Coturnix japonica: one gene and its partner. The protein of the gene in region 1 interacts with the protein of each later gene in a pairwise test. Links are inferred from orthologs where the notes say so. Each region holds a gene or a part of one and is shown in the gene's direction. Other genes may lie near its edges.

The links.
Region 2: the proteins of PACSIN1 (region 1) and COBLL1 interact in binary tests that used the Homo sapiens proteins (3 or more experiments, as listed by UniProt). The link is inferred for Coturnix japonica from reciprocal best matches to the Homo sapiens genes PACSIN1 and COBLL1.

What each region holds. Positions count from the first base shown.
Region 1 is NC_029541.1:4,226,483-4,236,871, reverse strand, and holds the start of PACSIN1 (protein kinase C and casein kinase substrate in neurons protein 1), read left to right. Parts: upstream 1-3,619; 5' UTR 3,620-3,758; intron 3,759-7,312; exon of another isoform or gene 7,313-7,435; intron 7,436-10,389. Other genes in the region: RPS10 (40S ribosomal protein S10), read right to left, coding at 1,338-1,509, 1,827-1,976. UniProt on the Homo sapiens protein: Plays a role in the reorganization of the microtubule cytoskeleton via its interaction with MAPT; this decreases microtubule stability and inhibits MAPT-induced microtubule polymerization.
Region 2 is NC_029522.1:26,489,000-26,498,890, reverse strand, and holds part of COBLL1 (cordon-bleu protein-like 1), read left to right. Parts: intron 1-1,210; coding exon 1,211-1,469; intron 1,470-3,870; coding exon 3,871-3,956; intron 3,957-4,536; coding exon 4,537-6,155; intron 6,156-7,267; coding exon 7,268-7,453; intron 7,454-9,891.

The sequences.
Region 1 (10,389 bases):
AGCTCAGTGGATGTAAGCTTACCTGGACAATCAATACAGCAAGGAACACTTCACCTCAAGGGTACAATCTGCTACAGCTTGTGCTTGGAGTGAACTCATCAACAGTGTAAAAACTGAATGTACAGCATCCAACACAGCTACAACTATCCCAAGGACCAATAATTACTATAAAAAGCCAGGAGTGCAGGGAATCTGTCACAATTGGCAGGGCTGTACTTCACTGTGTCACAACCTGCACGGCATTCTGAGCCCCATCTAAAGTACTACTATCAGTATTACAAATCCTCTGCAGCAGAATAGATTAATAAAGCTAAGAGCAGATTATCTATGTAACATCAGATTAAAATTGGACAGAATACTTGCAGGAAAGAAACGGACGCGGTGGAACTGCCTGTTTCTGTGCAACTCATGGATTTCCCCCACAATATCAAAGATTAAATGTTCTCCCACAGCATCAGACCAAGGTCTCGATGCTCAGGCAGTAAGACACAGCTATGGCCAGATGTGATACTGAACTCTGCTTTAGACTCAATGTTCCAGCCTGTTTACCAAAGTGTCACTTGAGAAAGTTGGGAGCATTGCATGAAAGCACCAAAAAAGACAAATTTTAGCCATGGAACTACAAAAGCTTTCATCAGATCCGCAGTCACTCCAGCTCTCTGGATAAACACAGCTTACACTGGGTAACACCCAAAGCTGAGAGATCAAAGAAACCTCCTCACCACAACATGCCCACAGCCTCCATCCTGATCACAGGGCCCAGAACCTGCTGACTGGGCTACCAGCTTCATCCCAGGTACCAGAGAATTGTCCAGCACCAAAGCTCAGCCCTCATTCTTCATCACTGAACCTCACAGCCCAGCCTGGCTGCTGTTTGTTCCCTACAATGGCAACCCTGGCCTCCCAAGGAGCTTTTCTATGGATACTTCTAGTAGAGCCAAGGTTCTCTGTATCTGCTGGACTGACAGAGAACACACACGCCATCTTCCTGATGGAGAACTGCAGTGGTCTGTGTGCTCTGCCCTTTGAAAGCTCCAGCCACCACCTGTCCCCTCGATCCACAGCCTGCAGTGTCAATGGGCCGGATCTCAGAGGCTCCACTCCCTTGTGTTACCAGCAGGAAAGCTCTGTGTGCTTCCCTCACTCACAACTTTCTTTAGCCACCTCCAAATCTTCAGTACTCCAGTATTAGTGCCAAATATAAACACAACTAAACCCATAACGACGCATCATCTATTAGTTTATACATCCACCTGACTAACCTCACCTACATTGTCTAACACACACAACCCTCACCCTCTGCTTCCTTCTGCTGCCACTTCCCAACCCCATTTTACCTTTGGGCCGTGGTCTGCCGGTCTCGGGGCGGCTGCGGCGCAGGGTTGCAGGGACGATCTCAGGGGGAAGGTGCAGGTAATCGCGCAGGTACTGGATGCCCTCGTTGGTCAGGTACCAGTAGAAATGCCTCCAAGCAAATTGCTCTTTCACATAACCACGGGATTTCAGAGACTGGAGAGAGAATTCTCAGTTACGTCAGGTTTATCAGAGACATGGGGCAATAATCTAAGTGCACATGCAGGAAATATAATGATACCACATACAAATGCATCAGAGCTTGAAGAAAAGAGCTAGAGATGTGGATCACACCAAAAGTCTTCAACAGACTGTGGAGAACAGATCAAGTAAATAGTGGGACTATTGGAATAGGAAAGAAATGATGACTATAACAATGTTATTTGGTAACAAGCAGCAACATTTACCCACAGGTATCTGCTATACACAGTATCTTATGGCCCAGACCCAGCATTTCGCCCTCACCTCCGTACCTGCATGGCTTTCATCACATGGAGATTGGGCACATTCTTATCGACGAGCTCCGGGTGTTTCGGCATGTGGACGTCTTTCTTGGCCACCATCACTCCCTCCTTAAAGAGGAGCTCGTAGATGGCAATTCTGTTCTTCTTGGGCATCAACATCTAAAGGACAAACAGCACTAAATCCTGCCTATTCCCAATGAATCACAACTCCCGGCCCTTAGCGCCCCGCGGCCCACCCTGCCGGCCTAAGGCCTCCCGCGGCCTACTGCGGCCTACTGCCCCCCCAGGCCTTCCGCCTCGCCATCCCGGGCCCAGATCCCCCCGATCCCGGAAATATCGCCGCGGATGGGCCGGGCCTGATCTCCCCCGTTCTGTCCCGGTGCTGCCTCACGGCTCCGCCCGCGGATGGAGCCGATACAAGCCCGATCCGAGCCCGATGTAGGCCCGGAGCGCTGCCTCACCGTGACAGTCTCAGCGGGGCCGAGAGCGGAAAGGAACACGCATGCGCCGCGCTCTCACTTCCGGCCTCCCGAAGGCCCCCCCAAGCGCTGAGGGTGTCCACCGCGCTGCCTGTAGCAAGGTGCGCAAGGCCCCCAGTCAGGTCACCGAGAAAGGTGTCCGTAGTGATGCCTGATAGGAATTAGCCCTTTAACCTCAGCATCCCTGACATTAAATGGGCGCTGGGGCAGCCATGGAGCTCAGCTCCATCCCCTGCAGCTCCCACATGTGTCACACAGCAATGGGATTTACAGTGCTGATGGCTGGGATCATCCCCCGTGGATTAGCACAGGGCTCAGGCCATACTATGGGGCTGGTGGCACAGGGGGGACCAGGAGCCACAGAGCAGGGCTTGGCCATGGCTTCCTATTGCTATGAGTACAGCAGTCACCGTGCATTCACCCTGACAGCAGCCCATGGCCTTCCCTGGGTGCCCCCATGCAGCCTCATAATGGGGACGAGCAGCCTTTGTATTCATACACATGGAGGACAGGGGATGTTCCAGCAGGGCTTTCCCTGCTGCTCTGTGTGCTCACATTGAGCCCTGCTGCCATCAGCCCTTACTGCAGGCAGAGCCGTGAGGAGCTGGTCAGTCAGTGCTGCCCTTTGGAGCCGGGCTGTAAAGCTCTGGCTGGGATCCCAGGGAGCAAAATGAGTGTGTAAGTGAGTTCCACCCACGCTGCTCCCTGCAGAGCAAAGGGCTCGTGGTTCCAGCACAACGAGCTCCCAGCAGCTCCTTGTGCTGGGATCTGGGGCTCCAGCACACACAGCTCCGCTCACACCACGCTGCTCAGCACAACACTAACACTCTCTGATCCCACTGTGTTCCCTTGGTCCTGGATGGGGTTTGCTGAGGGCAGAGGCAGAGCAGGATGGCAGGACGCAGGCTGTGTCCCATACCCCACACAGCACCCAGCACTTAAGGCTGCTTGGAGGTCTCAGCACCCCAGGGGAGATGGGTGGAGGCTCCATTAGGTGCATCCCTCCATCAGACCAGGGGGCAACCTCAGGTCTGCCCACATCACACAGGGAGAAGGGAAGGAACAGGGGCTGTGAGCCATAGGATGGAGGAGAAGGAAAGAGCGTGGGGAGGTGTCAGCTCACAGCACAGTGTGCAATGAGGCTGAGGACCCCCCCGCAGCCACCCGAGCTTATTCTTCGCTGCTCCTGCGGTAACGTTTTCACCTTGTGCTGCGAAGGAGTCATTATGCCGAGCCGGGGTGGCGATTGGCTGGCTAAAAATGCCTCTGTAATCTCCGTGCTGATCTTTACCCCCTCCTCCCCATCTGCCGTGACCTTCCTCCCAATGTGCAGAACCAGCCCGAGTGAGACGGAGCCTCTGGGTTCCCAGCCATCACCCCGGCCACCCCCAGTGCCGCCCAGCATCCGCAGCCCAGCGCCCTCCCCGTGCCCTCCCATGGGCCCTGCAGCCTTTTGCCCAAGGTACCGACGCGTCCCCGGGGCTCCCGGCATGTTCTGGCTCCAGATGTTGGCAGTGGGGGGCTCCCGGTGGGCGGTGGGTGATGGGGATGGTGGTGGCCCTGCTGTATGGATGGGACGCTTGGTATCGGCGTGTTGCTGTGCACCCTGGTGGAGGTGTCAGCCCTGTAATGCTCCTGGACCTGGGAGGTGAGATTCTGGCATAGCAGCTCAGTGCTGCCTGGTTTATGACATTGCCAAACTTCTCTAGGACTGGGGATTGCTTACTATCTTGTGCCTGAGCTCGGGGGGCTGCTGTCAGGTGGGTCTCATCTGAGGTTCTGTGGCATCTCGTGGCTCGCCCCCGCTCTATACGTTATGCAAAAGCTGCATCAGCTCAATAACAGCCCCAGGAGTGCCCCAAGGCCAGGCTCACTCTGTCAGCTGGGGGCTGGCACCATTGTGCTGCTCCATGGAGAACCCGCAGAGCATCCCGCACCAGGAACGGGGTCCCTCCAGCTCCCCACAATGGATAAAAGAGGGCTGGGAGCCAAAAAGCCGCCCTGAACAGCCTGCAATTGTCAGGGCTGTCAGCGCTGAGCAAACGGAACGATTGTGCTCATCTTCCCTCTGCCTCCTTGCTGTGCGCTTGGCATCCTCTGACTTGCCCGGTGAGAAATTCAGGATCCTCAGCACTGGGTGCAAAGAATTGCTCCTTTAGAAGAACCAGGATGGGTCACCGATAGGACGAGGAGGGGAAAAGCAGACCCAGGGATGCAGCAATGACTGCAGGGGAGAAACGCATCTCCTGGCCCCACGCCCTGACCAGGATTGCTGCCCTTGTCCTTCCCATCCCGCTGCTCTGCACACATCTCCTCTCTGCCATTCTTGCTCCTTGCTCACAAACAGCCAAGCAAGCACTTTGCTAAACGGATTAGAGCTGTGCTCCTCCTGCAGCCTCCCCGAGCTGCTCCCGCTGGGTGCTGCATTGCCACAGATCACAGATATGGGACACAGCAGTTCCTGCACTATGGGCTGCCCCTGAGCTGTGGGGCACGGTGACCTTACACTGAGATGTGGCTCCTGCAGCTGGGGGCTCACAAGGCAACAAACAACCCCATGCAGCAGTTCTGGGTAGGCAGGACTATGGTGGCACTGCTGGTGGTGAGGATGTGTTGTATCCCCACTCCTCCTCAGCTCAGGGATGAGAGCTGGAAAAGGGAGAGGAGAGGCTTGGGAAGGAGATTAACGCTGCAAAGGGGAATTTATCAGTGGCTGAATGCCAGGGCTGCTGCTGACAGCACTGAGCCTGTTCTGGGTGCTCGCAGCCGTGTCCCCATCCCCTCCTGCCCCTCTTGGCCATCGCTGCCTCTTCCTGTGTGGGATGGATTTAACTAAAGGGATTGAGGAAAGGCAGCCCGGGTGGCTGCAGGAGCCTCACGTGCAGCTCTGCCCCATGGACAGACTTTGTCCCCGGTGGGGCAGCGAGCAGGGCAGTGCTTGTGCAACGGCATGAAGGCAAATAGAGGAGCCTTGGAGAAGGCACTTCCCCTATGGGGCACAGCAGCAGGGGGGAAAGGAGGCAGCGACCCCAACATTGCCATGGCTGTGAGCAATAGGGACACGCTGCTCCCAGCTGCTGCCCACAGCAGACCCCACACACAGGCATTTTCCCAATAAAAAGGAGCCTTTATGTCCCGGCCCCTGCCCCGGAAGGGGCTCACAGGCCGCCTTGGGGCTGGGTATGGGCAGACAAAAAGGGGATTGTTGTGGTGGGAGCTGGGCTGCTGGCAGCACCTGCCCCACGTCGGGGGCCCTTCACAATGACCGGCTTTCTGCATAACTGCTGCAGAGGGGCCAATTATCCTCCGATGCTAATTAGAGATGCAAAATAGCCTCGTGTTTGCATTCTCCCAGCAAGCCGGAGTGTTCCTGGGACCTGCAGCACATCTGTAGCTGATGCAGGGCACAAACATGGGGCTGCTGCACCAGCAGTGCAGTCAGGATGATTTGCTTCTCAGTTCACCGTGGTGCTCGAAGAATCTTAATTTCAGAGTGCCAAGAAGCCACATAAATCAAGGCTAATTTCCTGCCAATACTGCCCGCTGCTTCCCATGGGGAAACTCATTTTATTGAAGGGGGAAATGAGTTATTGCAGGAAATAGTGACCGCTGGGATGGTGCACAATGGGGGAGGGTTTGTCATGGCCTTGTTTGTGCCACAGCATCCAGCTGGCACTCACTGCAGGGCTCTGAACTGCAGGGCTCCATGTATCACAGGGTCACTGGAATCCCCCACCACCCCCCAGTGTTTAATGCCAAGAGCATTTGCTCCCCTGTGCCCAGATGCTGCCGGGGCTGAGGACCCTGAAATGGCAAAAAGCAAAGACCAAATGATGCTGCAGGAGCCTGAGCCCCCCCGCTCTGTGTTGGGGCAGCATTATTTCACCTGGGTCTCACGCTGCCTCCTCCCCTGCAGCCAGCACAGAGCCCTGAAATATTTCAGGACCTTTCTGGCTTGCTAAAGGTTGGAAGACGTGCTCAGATGGCACACAGACCCACCAAGCTTCATTAAGGAATGGAAGGCGCTCATTAGGGGAAAGCTGATCCAGGCTGAGCCTCATGGGAGCGGGTTGCATTCTGTGGGCAACCCGATCTGGGCAGCTGCAGCCCGACAAGCAGCCAGCCTCATTACTGCAGCTCCTGTGGGCGGCTTCGGTTACTCAGCCCGAGCCGTTCGTCTCCTGCCAGCTTTGAATTTCCCTGACATCACCCCGAGCTGGGGGAAAACGCAGGCAATGGGGAGTGGGAGAGCCCACCCGCACCATGGCTCCAGCTGCTGCTGCCCATAGGGCTCACGGATGTGGCACAATGGGATGAATGCCCAGACACAACCCTGGGGTTTGGGAGGAGGCACTGCCTGGCTCCATGGCCTTGGAGCAGCAGCTCATGGGGTGCAGCAGCTCATGGGGTGCAGCTACTCTGCCCCTTCCCCATCCCATGTTTCTATGTAGCTCTTGCACCAGCTCCTTCCCTGCTGGCACATTTGGCAGCGAGGCGGCACCAGCTGCATCTCCAAAGGTGTTCTGGGGTGTTTGTTTCTATAAGAGCTCAGCCATGAAACCCTCCCCACTGCACCAGGGGGAGGAGTGGAGGGAGAGCTCTGCTCCATCCCATCCTGCTGCCCTGCACCTGCTGCATGAGGATCCCAAGGATCCCAAGGACAGAGCAACACTGCAGCACAGCTGGAGGCTGATAAGAACTTGTTCCCAGCCCTCCTGGAGCCCTGCAGCACCAATGGGACCGGACACAAGGTGCTGCTGTGTGCCCCCATAGCCCAGCACCCACTGTGCCCCAGGAGCACATCACCTTGCACTGTGACGAGTGTGTGCTGAGCACCCTACAGCCCCAGGTGTGCACACAAGGCGCAGCAAACACCTGCCCTTCCTGCTTCCTAAGAAACCTGATGCCGAGGCATGTGGATATTGGGGGGAAGGGGGGGGTCCACATCCTCCCTGGATGGTTTTTGCAACCTTTTAAGCATCGGCTCCATCCCTGGTTGCCTTGACGACTGCAGGCTGCAGGCTGGGCGCGCTCCCGTGGCCGTGCACGGTGCTGCTGCCCGGCTGGTGCTGAGCGCAGCGCAACGCAGCGTCCCAACGAACCCCCCCGAGCCCCCTGCAGCCACACAGCCCGGCCCAGGTAAGAGGCAGCCCCTGCGGTGCTTCACTGCAGGGAGCCTGGGGACGGACGGGGGACAGGCAGGGGGATGGAGCTGCGGGATGCTTGGGGTGCCTTGTGTGCATGGGGGGGTCAGGGGGGTGTTGCGAGGAGCTGGTTTATGTTCACCCCCCAGGGCAGGGTATGATGTACCTGATCATCAATGTGAGCTGGGGGGATGCACACGTGACCTTCAGTTCCCCTGTGTGTCCGTGATGGTGCTGGGGCTGTGACCCTGCTGCGCTACCAGGGACGTGCCTCAGTTTCCCCGGCTGCTCCAATGGTCCGGAGGGATGAGGACTCGTGTTGCCCCCACCATCACTGTCTCCTTGCCCAGATGAGCCCCTCACCCTGTTGCTGAACCCCTCCTTTAATTGCCTTCCCCCCAGCTTCTCCCTGTTTCCTTCCCCCTCACTGAGACCCCCACCCATACCCAAGTCTCTTCCCCCACCACTAACAGCCAAACCCCAGGCACCTGGCAGCCCCATGGCAGCCCCATGGCAGCCCCATGGCAGCCCCGTTCCACTTCCATCACTGCCAGCCCTTGGCAGGAGGAGGGGGATGCCAGCCCTGGATGGGACCCCCCCTCAAGCACACATTGCTCTGCCTCCCCCGTCCCTCATATGGAAGCAAGGGGTCAGCACCCCCACATCCTCCAGCACTTCTCGGCTTAATTGCAAAGCACATATTTGGATTTCCATCTCAACCCCACTCCTGGGACTGCAAAAATCCCTACTCAAGAGGCAGAGCATCCTTGTTTACAGCAGCGAGCTAAGAAGGCAGGCTGAGAAGAGCCGCAGAGCTGCAAGGCAAGTTGGAACCCCAGCAACTGAGGCTCAGAGCAGTTTCCCTTCCCCAGGCCTGAGCACATTATGGGGCTGACAATCCTGCTCCAGATCTCCACTGGTGTCTATCCACATTCCTGGCACATCCGCTGTACCTGTTCTGGCTGCAAGCTCCCCCGGAGAGAAACACTGCTGTTATCTGCAAATGCCATGCATAACTTCCAGAAATCTGAGCAAGGCTTGTAAAATCCCTTGGAAGACTTTGATGGGTGTCCTGCGTGCTCAGCCAGATAACGCTGGGGAGAGGAGGAGGAATATTTCTGCACACAGAGCACACAGAATGTGAAGCTGATTGCTGCCAGGTCCTGGAGCAAAAAGCACTGCCCTGGTGATGCAATGTGGCAGCACTGGCAGCACGCAGCCCCATCCCAGCCCCATCCCAGCCCCATCCCAGCCCCATCCCAGCCAGGTGGGCTCCCTGCTGTCCACAAATGGGACGTGGGGCTCTTGTAGCAATCCTGTTCCAATGAACCTCCTTTACAAATGCTCCTGTTTGGAGGAAGCTGCAGGTCTGCTCGCTGGACCCGTCCCCTCCTGTCCTTGCTCCCCCTGGGCTGGGACAAGGCGCTGCCATGGGCACGTCCTGCACAGGGCTCAGTGGAACAGAACCTCAGAAGTTCCCAGCATTACCCACACATCGCCCCATGGATGTGCTGTGTGCGTTACCCCCCAGCCAGCCCCACAGCACTGCCATGTCTGGAACCCCATAGAGAAGCACCCTGTGTCCATTCCTTGGTGCAATGAGTGTGCATGAGGTGGGGCCCTGCTCTTGGCACTGCTGTTCTGTTTGTCTTCAGCTACAGTGGTTTTCATGTGGCACCGAGGCCACCAGTGCTGCACCCACCATTTGCAATTAGCAGCAATAGGGGTGAGGATATCAGCTGCCTGCAGCCAAATTGGGGCTGCTGAAATGCAGCCTGAATCCCTCCCAGTACAGCCCTACATGCACCCCCAGGCTCCTTGCAGGAGGAAACCAAAATGCAGCACCTATTTCACATTACAGCTGCTTGGAAGGGTGTTCTGTGACAAGCCAGGACCCTGCGTTTAATTGCAATAAGACCAGCCCAGACAATTAGCTCATTTTGAATTGCCAGGGCTCTCTGCTGTACTGATGGCCCTGCTGGGAGCCACCAAGGAGCTACATGACAACAGCACGCAGCACATTGCATCCTGCCCTGCTCACGTGCTCCTGCAGATGAGGTCCTCGGGCAGCACTGAGGGGCTGCATCAGGGCTGGGACACTTTGCAGGAGGGTTTGGCACTAAGGCTAATCCTGGCATGGCACCGACCCCATCAGCACTCTCAGCCCTGCAGCAGGGCTCAGATCTGCTTTGCTCAGTGGATGTAGCAAACCCACTGATAGTGAATGTGGTTGTGATGCCACCCTCTCTATCCCCAGCCCCAGCATGGGGGGTGCAGCCTGGTTCAAGCAGCTCCTACTGATACAACTGTGGGGATTCCCAGCTCCTGTGCCCACAGCATCAGCAGTGCCAGCCCTCTGCATTGCAGCACCTCCTGCCTGCATGGGGTCAGCGCCTGCATCCCAGAACCCAGCACCTGCACAGGGACAGAGACCCACTGCAGCAGCAGGAGCTGCGTCTCAAGAGCTGAGCTGTGCACTGAGCAGGCTGCTGGGGAGGATGGAGAGGTGCAGGGGGAGCTGAGGCTGTGGGAGCAACCCAAGGACACAGCAGCATCTGCAGGGGCACGAGCTCAGACAAACTTCACTGCTGCAGTTTGCAAAACCCTCTGGTGGCTTTTGGGGTGGTTCAGGGCAGGGATGCAGAGCTGCATTGCTCAGGGTTCCCAATGACAGCACCCAGCTGGGGCTGGCAGCTCACCCACACTGTGCTCAGCCACCGGGCATCACCACCAGCCACCTCAATGCGAAGTGATGGAGGGGATGGGGGGGCTGCGCTGCTGCCTGGGCGGTGGGCATCGAGCACAGGTCTGGCTGCACGGAGTACACACACACATGTCTGCATGTCTGCATGTTTGTGTGTCCGGGTGCATGGCAGGAGAGCAGCAACCAGGCAGCAACGTTGAAAGCGATGCAGAGCCAAAAATAACCCCCAAAGCTGCAGCTCAAAC
Region 2 (9,891 bases), on another chromosome or scaffold:
TTCTCTGAATCACGAACAGTTCTGTTTTTATTTTCTTTCTTTAGTGATACTTCTGTAGAAGTAATGGGTCTGCTGCAGGATAATATTTTGTACAGTAAAATCTGTTTAGGATGTTTCTTATTAAAGAAATATGCTCTGGGTTCTGCCCATTTCCAGGATTGCTTGCTTCAAGCTAGTACTTTATTTTCAGTCTTAGCCTTTTTGTTTAGAGTTGGATTGCGCTTTGAAACTTGCTGATTCAGCCCACTGCAAGGCCTGTACCTTGTATTGATGGATGCAAAGCTAACAGAAATACTCTGCTCAGATCAGAATACACTGATCATATGAGCTTCTGTTATTTCCAGTAGCTTTCCCTGTCACCATATTGCCCTATATAGATGAAATTATTGTTATGTTGTTTGTTTTGCAGAATGTGAGTTGCAAAGCTGAGAGGTTAATTGTATGGTCTACCCATTAATACTTGATAAATGTGAATCAGCATGTTGGTGTAGGAAGATTCCTGGCAGGAAAGTAAAGCCAGAGACAGTCCCTCCGGAAAGAAAAATACTGCGTTTATTAGTCTAACATCAGTTGCACTGTGTTGTGTATCCTAAACCAGAAACTAATCCTTTTTCATCATGGTCTAGCTGAAAATTCCATTATTTTTATGGATTAATGCTTTTCCATATATTTTTTCTTATATTTATTTATTTATTTATTTGCATGGGGCAGTTCACAAGACTCATCTAAATGTGTTTTGATATCCTTGGGATGACTATGGGAGAATTTTGATAGTGATGAACAGGCATGTTCAAAACATGGACTAAGTTCTCTAATGTACTTACTGTGATATAAACGATTCCTTTATTTTAAACCTCACTCGAGAGCTAATGAAGGTTGTTAGAAATCCAGGTGAAATAAACTGCGTGCCTTCATGATATTTGTTATGTGTATTTTTATCTATACTAATTCAGTTCTTGAATTAAGCAAAGGGAAACATCATACAGTAGTTACAGATGCAGAAATGGATGGACATTGGCATGACAATAAGCATAGAAAATACTATGAAATTGAAACTAATTCTTCTTTTTTTTCCCATCCCTCCCTATATTATGAAGAGGACCCTCAGTTTTCCTTCATGAAACTGCTTAGGCCGGCTTCACAGTCCCTTTTTAATCTATATGCTGAAGGTGTGTTTCCTTTTCTTTTTTTCTTTTCTTTGTGAGCTTAGGTGCCAGGACCTCAGAATACAGCCTGGAAGAAATTGATGAAAAGGAAGAGATGAGTGTGCAAGAGGGAGAGGAAAGTGGAAGTACAGATACCTCTCTCAGGACAGGGGAGGTTACTGCAGCCTTCAGCTCTACAGAGGTACCACTGGAAACTGAAAGAAATGATCGTGCTTCATCAGTTCCTGTTGCTGGCACTGTTTCTGTAGACAACTCACAAAGCTTCGAGGAAGAAAAACAAGAAAATATGAGCACAGATGGCAAGTAAGTACGCTTTGTGACAAAGAAAGGAGCACTGGAGAAGGAATGGGGGAGGCAAATAAAATGCAGGGTGCTGTTTCATTGTGGAGCATAAAATAGAGAATTGTAAGAAAGGAATGAGTTCAGTATGCTTAGCTTTTGTTGTAGCACATATCTGGACACAGTAACTCATGAAGCCTTTCAACATAAATGACAGAATATTCTGCTGGCTATTCTGGTTAGACCATTTTTTCTTACTACTGAAACATCCAGACTCCGGAAAAGCTGAACCCATCTCTAAAACATCTAGCACTATTACTAGAACACTTTGCTGAGGAGGGGAAGGGAATAGGGTGGAGGGGAATGAAGTGAGTTAGTTATCGTTTAAAAGCTCATTCATATAGTTGGAGGAAAACAGGTATATTTGCTATGCTGATCAATTGCTCATCTGTTATCTTGCTCTATATTTTTGGTTTTTTCTTCGTATGTTAGCCACTTGTCTTGACCTATTTTGATGCGTCTGCTCCCAGGAAAAACAAGAATTGACACATTGTTTTCCTTAACCACACTTTTTTGGTGATGCTCTAACTTTGCCCTGCAGCATTTTTATTAAACCACTTTCTAATTTGCAGGTTCCCAACATGAGTTACTGCCTGGTTCAAGTCAATGTTGATTGTCCTGGGAGGTCCCCTTGTGTTAATGTAATTCACTATTTATGTGCTCTGTGGGGCAGCTGAACTTGCTAATGTTCCTGATTTAAATTGCAAGAGTTATTTCAATTATTATACTAAAACCAAAATGTGTGAATGCTACAGTAGCTAAAAACGTTGAAGGCAATATAGAGAGCTTAGAATTGCATTTCAAGGGTCTTTCTGTCAATTCAGAGCAAAGAAGGTCTTTGCAAATTCCTTGGTGTTCTGCCCCTCAGTACTGTGTCAGTTGCTTGGGTGTGTCTGCTCTGTGAGGAACTGTGTGGGGGTGCCTCAGCAAAGTTCTCTCAGATTTGCAAATTATCAGACTTGTGTTACCGTGCCAGTTTGGACAGCAGTCATGGGGATATTTCCTCACTGCTCTCCCCTGACTTGTAACAGCCTCTTGTGGCCTGTAATACTGGTGTATCATCTAGTATGCACTGTACCATAATTTCAAAGTTTAGAAATCCCTTCCTTCGTGAAATATCGCAGTGATGAGAATGAGAGCTAGAGGGTTTCTCTGACATTTGTTTATGAAAATCTTCTGGTGATTCAGATTTTTCTAAGATAGGTCTGGTGGCTCTGATACTCTGGCACTTTGTGACATTTTCTTTCTTTTTTTGGTTTGTTTTTAAACAGTTCAGCCCATTGCAAATGGTTTTCATTCAGTCCCTTAGCTCTGTTTGAGGGAGTGAATATAGGCAAGAGTACAGAGGGCAGGACTGAGCTTTAACATTCTTCCAGCAAATTTTGAAAGCTTCTGTTTTAGCAGTTGTTGGACACTTACCATATGTCTTAGACTGTACAGGCAACGTGAGGATGGGTTATTCATTATTTAAAATGATTCAAAGCAGATGCTTCGTTTCATGGCAGTGATTCCTAATGATAACTAAAACATTGGATGTGGCAAATGAATTGGAATCTTCATAGTGACAGTATTAGTTACTACGGAAAATAAAAGTATCACTGAGATAGAAGGCTGAAGTTCTGATAGTTTTGTTTTTTTTTTTAAATGAGAAATGTTAAATATGTTGGCATTTTTCACTTAAATTTTGAAGTCAAATACTTAATATTTCCTGAAAACAGAGGAGAGTTTTTTCAGTACTTATATAGTTCTTTTGTCCCCTCTGATCATAGGACAAACACTGTATGCATTTGCAAAATGTTTAGTATGCAAGTAACACATTTTATGCATATATCTTTGCTGTTCTCAAGATATTTCATGAAACGGAAAGAACATCTTTCATTAGTATTTCAAAAAGTCTGTACTGCGCAGTTCATATGCAGCTGGTGTCTCATGCTGCTCCCTGCAGATTATGCTGGAGACAAAAATCAAAGACGTTGTAAATGTTGGAGGATGTCATAAGACTTCACACTGAGAATGTTGTTAAGGAATGATAAGCCATTGCCTGAGTGATTCACTGAAACTTGAGTTTTAAGAATGGGGCTTGTTCAGAGTGCACGAATAAACAAAAAAAAAAAAAAAAAAGAGGAAAAGGAAAATGGATCACGTTATGTGTACATAAGAGTGAAGCTGAATGTCATTTTGGTAAAATATCATAGCAGCATTTCCTCTCATTTAAAAAAAAATGTATTTTGTTTAGTACTCCAGTGTTTGGCAGAATGATTTCTCCATCTGTGTTTGGAGAACATTGCCAGTTCTCTTGCATCTTTTCTTCTGTTTACTGAAATGAATGATACCAACATATTTAATGTACTGTTGTGCTTTGCAGAGAACTACAGACTCAGATAAGCAGTGACCAAGATGCATTTGAGAAAGACAGGAAGCTTAGAATTTTGGAACAAAATAAAAATCATGGTGAGTAGTTCCCACTCATTTTGTTGAAGAAAAAAGACAACTAAAATGCTGTCACCTCTTGAATTGTGATTATCAGATTATTTTCTTTATACTTTCTGTGCCTTTGGTGTATCCCAACTTGAGATGAGGTGACAAGAATTGGTTGCATTTTTGTTGTTGTAAAGTTAACAAAACACTTGTGATATTAAAAGCATGGAACAGAAGCCACAAAGATGGAAGTAAACAAAAATTGCTTCTAACTTAATACTGAATAGACTGAACAGAGTTTACCTTACTGGTTCCTATTATAATCAACTGAAATTTCTTAGCACTGAAATGATTCAGTAGTAGCTTGTTATTAATTCATGCATGACACCAGAAGGCTGATAATGAAGAATATCTGTGTAAGAAGAGAGTTATTCAGTAATATTAGGTAAATATAACTATAGTTTTTAAAATAAGTGTTAAGGAAAATAATAATAACAGTGAGGAGCTAGTCCTTGTCATTACATTTGTTGGATGTTTAGAACTTAGTGATATTAATGGGAAGGTTAAACCTTTTTGGCATTTGTATTAATTTCTGGAATCTCTTTTTTGAAAGATCACAGTAGCAGAACACTCCTCCCAACAAATGAAGATGCGGGAGAAAAGCAGACAGCAAAAATTAAAGCAGAAGATTTTAGCGAAAACAGCAAGCTTGAAGCTGACAGACTATCAAACTGCCAAGCATCTAAAAATGACATTGCCATAAGTCATAGCAATTACACTCAAATGATTCCAGGAAAGCAAGATCAGAAAACAAGTCAAACCAGCCTGGACACTGTAAAAACTCATGATGTTGCAATTCAGACAGGTCCATTGGTTAGCAATTTGGGAAGGACTGAAAAGAAAGAAATGATTGTTCCTCAAGACTATGAATCATCCACATTCAAAAGAATGGTCCATCAACACAATACAGACACAAACAACCCTGGTCTTCGGGTGATGCAAGGAATACATAAGGATGAAGAAACTTCAACAGAACAAAATCTTCAGAGGCAAGAAGTTTCATATGAGAAAGCAATACCCATGAAAGATGAAATTCATATTTGTACAAATGGCAGTAATGTTACTTCACTAGAAACGATTGCAAAAACTCCAGAAGGGTCTCCTATAAGGGGTTACCCTCTTTATAGGCAGGACATGAAACCTAAACTGAAGCCTGCTAATGAAATTACAAGAGATTACATACCAAAAATTGGAATGACTACTTATAAAATTGTGCCTCCTCCAAAATCCTTGGAAACAATGAAGAGCTGGGAATCAGATGTTTCAGATAGTAAGGCTCAAGAGGTATCTGCTTCCAAAAACACTCTGGAGTATGAAGACCCCAAAGAATTAATAATGCAAACTGAAATTCCTCATCTTCCCAAAAGTACAGGTCACTTACAGACTGGTTTGCAAAATATACCCACTGCAAAAAATGATCTGCTGCACAGAATGCAGAGCACTTCTGAACATGGGGTGCCATCTGGAACCAGGGTTACCTCCGAGGTCAATCAAATAGAGACAGTATCATCGAAGCAGCTTGTCCCACCAGTGCTAACCTTAAGTAATACAAATGCTTCTTCTGAGACTCAGGAGAAGTCAAATGCTCTAAGTCCTACAACAGCTAAGCCTAGTTCGTTTTATCTGCAAATGCAGCGAAGAGTTTCAGGTCACTATGTGTCATCTGCAATTGCCAGGAATACCATCTGTGCTCCTAATTCCATTCAAAGTGAAGTTAAAAATACAGAGTTAGAAAAAAAAATCTCATCACCTGATGAAACTGCATTACTTACTACAAGTAGCTCCTCTCTGCCAGTAGAAGACAAAGATAATGATGGGAAAAGAACTGAATCTTCCACTTCTCCTGTTAAAAACAATAAACCACCAAGTTCTCCCTCCTGTCAGCCAGCACCGTTGAACCTAAGAACTCTAAGAACTTTTGCAGTTCCAAAGCCATACTCCAGTTCGAGGCCATCCCCTTTTGCACTTGCTGTCTCCTCAGCTGTCAAAAGATCACAGTCATTCAATAAAACGCGTACAGTCTCTAGCCTGGCACCAAGAGAAGAATGTCCTGTTGAACTCTCATCTGCTTCTTCTGCAGCTGAATCCTCCTCAGCTACCTCCATGCCTCAGGTGAAAACCCCTTCCTTACACAGTGTCATCGGAGGGCCACAAAATAGTCTGATGGATAAGGTAAAGTTTATTAATAATATTTTTTTTATCTTTGATCTGCTGTGATGTCATCATCAGCAGAGCAGTGACTTTGGCTTCTTTCTGAACTGTTTGCTTATCAGAAAGTTCTGTATTGATACAGTGTAAACTACCTCTGTGAATGTGTAGATGGAACTATATTATAATTTAGAGAGCTGTTTCAAGCGGTTCTGGGAGCTTGGCATATCCATATGTCTGTGATGTGTAGATGCTGGCTGTCTTGCATCTTCTGTACAGATCCGCAGTATTCTGACAAGCAGCAGTACTATCCAAAACTTTCTGTTTCTATTATGACTGTTTTCTTCAGGCATGGAAGTTAGAGGCTAATCTTTGGTTCAAAATACAGTAATGCTTCTCCTCCTTCCTGCTTGTGGTTCGGAATACTTTGACAGACTTTTCAGAGTGGCTTCTGGAATATTTTGTGTCAAATTTAGATTTCCATACAGATGCATTAGTAAAATAAATGTTGCGGCAATAACAAGATTTATCTGGGAATACTTTATAACTGATCTTTGTTAGATATTTCAGTTCTCAAGCAATGCTCAGTTATGCTACAATAGTTGGTGTCAAAGGACCTAAATTTAGATGGTGACATTTTGGAATAAAATCCAATCAAGTTGTCAGGGGGAAAAAAGCAAGCAAAAAACCTATGGATCTCAACCAGTTGTAACACTTGAATACTTTCCTGTTTACTTAAGATATAATTTCAAGTTATAAAATCATGAGGTTTTTGAGTGCTTGATTTATTATTTTTATACTTATATTTCCTTTTGAAATATGTTTTTTCCATATCATATCACTTTGTGGTATCACATACTCATCTTGGAGGAATTACTTTATCATTTTAGTAAGTTTCATAAGTTGCTTTTATATCTTTTTTGTTACTGATAAATTGAAGATCACTTCCCAAAGCTATAGTAGAAATGGGGCTTATACCTGAGATCTTGAACAAATCAAATTTTATAGTGGCACAGTCTGATATGTGACCTCCTGTGAGTTGACATAGTTTTTTCTTTGCTGCTAATTAGCTAATTAACATTAAAGGATTTTTGTTTATTTATTTGTTTTGTCCTTCTCACTTCCTTCGTTTCTAGAAAAGCAGCAATGTAAGCAACAGTGAGCAAAAGATTCAGGCACAGTCAGGTGCTTCAGCTGACCACCCACGCCCTATCATTATGAGACAAACCTCAACACCAGTCCAGCGCTCTGACCCAGAACAGATCCACCAGAGCTTGCTGGCCGCAATCCGCTCTGGAGAAGCTGCAGCCAGATTGAAAAGGGTGAGTTTTTGTCATTGCATCCATAACAATGAACTCATGATGCCTCCTTCAAAATTACCATATTAATGCCTGACACTAAATGCAGTCAGCTTGGACATGAAGTGCTATGTACTAGATATCCTAATGGGAAGGGAGGGAGGGAGGAAGTTCAGTTTTGCAGAATGAACTGATGAATGCATTTTTATTTGTACAGATTTGTATGTTCATATATGCAAATAGCACAAATACGTGGTGTTAAGCACATGCTAAGCATCTTCATCCTAGACTCAAATTAGCTGCAATCTTTTCTAGGTAGATAAATAGAAGTTTTGAATATTTATTTTCTTCTAGTTATTAGACTTTATCAGGTCCTTCATTCTTCATAAATGTATTTCAAGCCTCCTGCTTGGTATCATTAGTAAGATATTTTTCAGTGTTTTGTCAGTAGTCCTGGCAGGACTGTTCTCCTTCACTCTCTCAGGTAAAAAAAAAATTGATGCTTGGTTTTGGTCTCCTGAAATGCACTCTCACAGGGGAAAATAGTGCAGACTTTAAAAATCTGTTGTTTTAAATTTGAACCAGACAATTTAATGATAGTCTCACACAAAACTCTCTTGACTCAGCAGTAATATTTTGCATTCTATATTGAAGAATAATTTCTCATTGCAGAAACTTTAGAAACTCAGTAGGTTTTGTTTTTCTTCCTTTTTCCACTTGAAACTTGAATAAAAGCAAGTAAAGTGTTATGGGTGGATGTGAGGGTATTTTTAAATTGTCTTTAATGGAAATGTTTGATATCCCTTACAATCACAATATGTCAGTTGATGGGTAGACATTCGAATAGCCTTTTTTAAATATGTGAGGTTTTGATTCAGCGTTGCACTACAACAGCCTCTCTGAGACTTACGCATCTCCTGGTATTTCTATGCTGAATAGGAAAACTGTTTTCTGGAAAGGTTATAAAAATGCATAACTTGTCCACAACTAGGTAAGCATACTGAACTAGTAGTCAGTAAGAGTGGTACATAATGTGCCCTAGCATTGCTTCTAACTACTATGTATCACTAACCACAAGCCACTTTAAAAACATGTTAATGAAAATACAAAATGTAAGAAAATGTAACACAAGATAGGTGGGAAGGTTCAACCATACCACCACCATCTGCCTCTGATATTATGGGCTGATATAATAAAATTGGAGGCATTACTTTCAGAGCACCTCTTGTGGATGTATTTGCAAGTATTTTTATTAGGGTATTTTTCCAATACATAATTACATTGTGGGTAATACTTAATTTTATTTATTTTGCATAGTGTATGAACTTTCTTTTGTGATTCTATGGGAAATATCCATGGGCTACATGGTAACTTGCAAGTATTTTATAAAATAAAATTTATGAAGTGCTTTTCAGAATTCAATAAATGTACTGATACCGAACATACCAAGGGAAAAAAAAATAGTTTGTCCACTATTTTCTAATAGAGATGTTTAGTGACCCACACAGTCCTTATCAGTCGTACGTGTACACAAAGAACGAGGTGATGACTAAAAACCTTTTTCCCCCATCACTCTCTCACTCTCCTGTGAGTGGGAGATGTTGTTTCCCCATGTAGCACTTGTAGAGGCTTGTGGGTGAGGACAGGGCTGTACTTCTAAGGAAAACTGATTAGAATGAGAGCCTGTAAGCATGAAGAAAAGCACGCTGTAATGTAGGAAAGAACCAAAAAAAAAACTGGGGGAAGAGATGTCAGGTGCCTGCTTCTGCATTTACCTCTCACCATATTCTCTATTCTTGCAGCTCTACTAGGGAGTCATTTAATAAAAAGGAGGGGAAGGGGAAACCTGGCACTACTATCCAAATGCTCTTTTTTCCCTGTTGTACTTAATAAGTTGTCAGTATGTGGTGCCAGGATCTGTGGTCTTTTGTGTTTCCGGCCTCTTGCGTTGAATAGGACCTTCAGTAATTACGAACCTAAAATGGGTCAACTGAGGTTTCTTTTAAACTATTTTTCTCTTCAGAATGTTTTGATTTTGTTTAGTAAACTCCAAGCTGTGGTATGTTGCTCGCATGGCTCTCATTAACTCCAACTGGAGTTACTGGTTTATGCAACCACAGTGAAAAGCAGAAACATTCCAGTGTCATAAATAAATGTCAGATTTTGCTAGAAATCAGTAATGCTCAATATTTTATTTAAAATATTTATTCTGAATGATATTTTTTTCATGTATTTCTTTTTCAACCATGCCTCGAGATTGATTAAAAAAAAAAAAATTACGTGTTTTTAATAGTTATGCACTGAAGTTTTTACAGAAAGGTTTGAAATTACTTAAAAACATATTTAAGGCTACTTCTGTAGCACATGTGCTTTGTTTAGAAATTATGTAGGAGATGGTTCATGTGTGAGAAGAGCACTACCTGACGGAACAGTATTGTACTTCTCTTTAAGATGAAACCCTC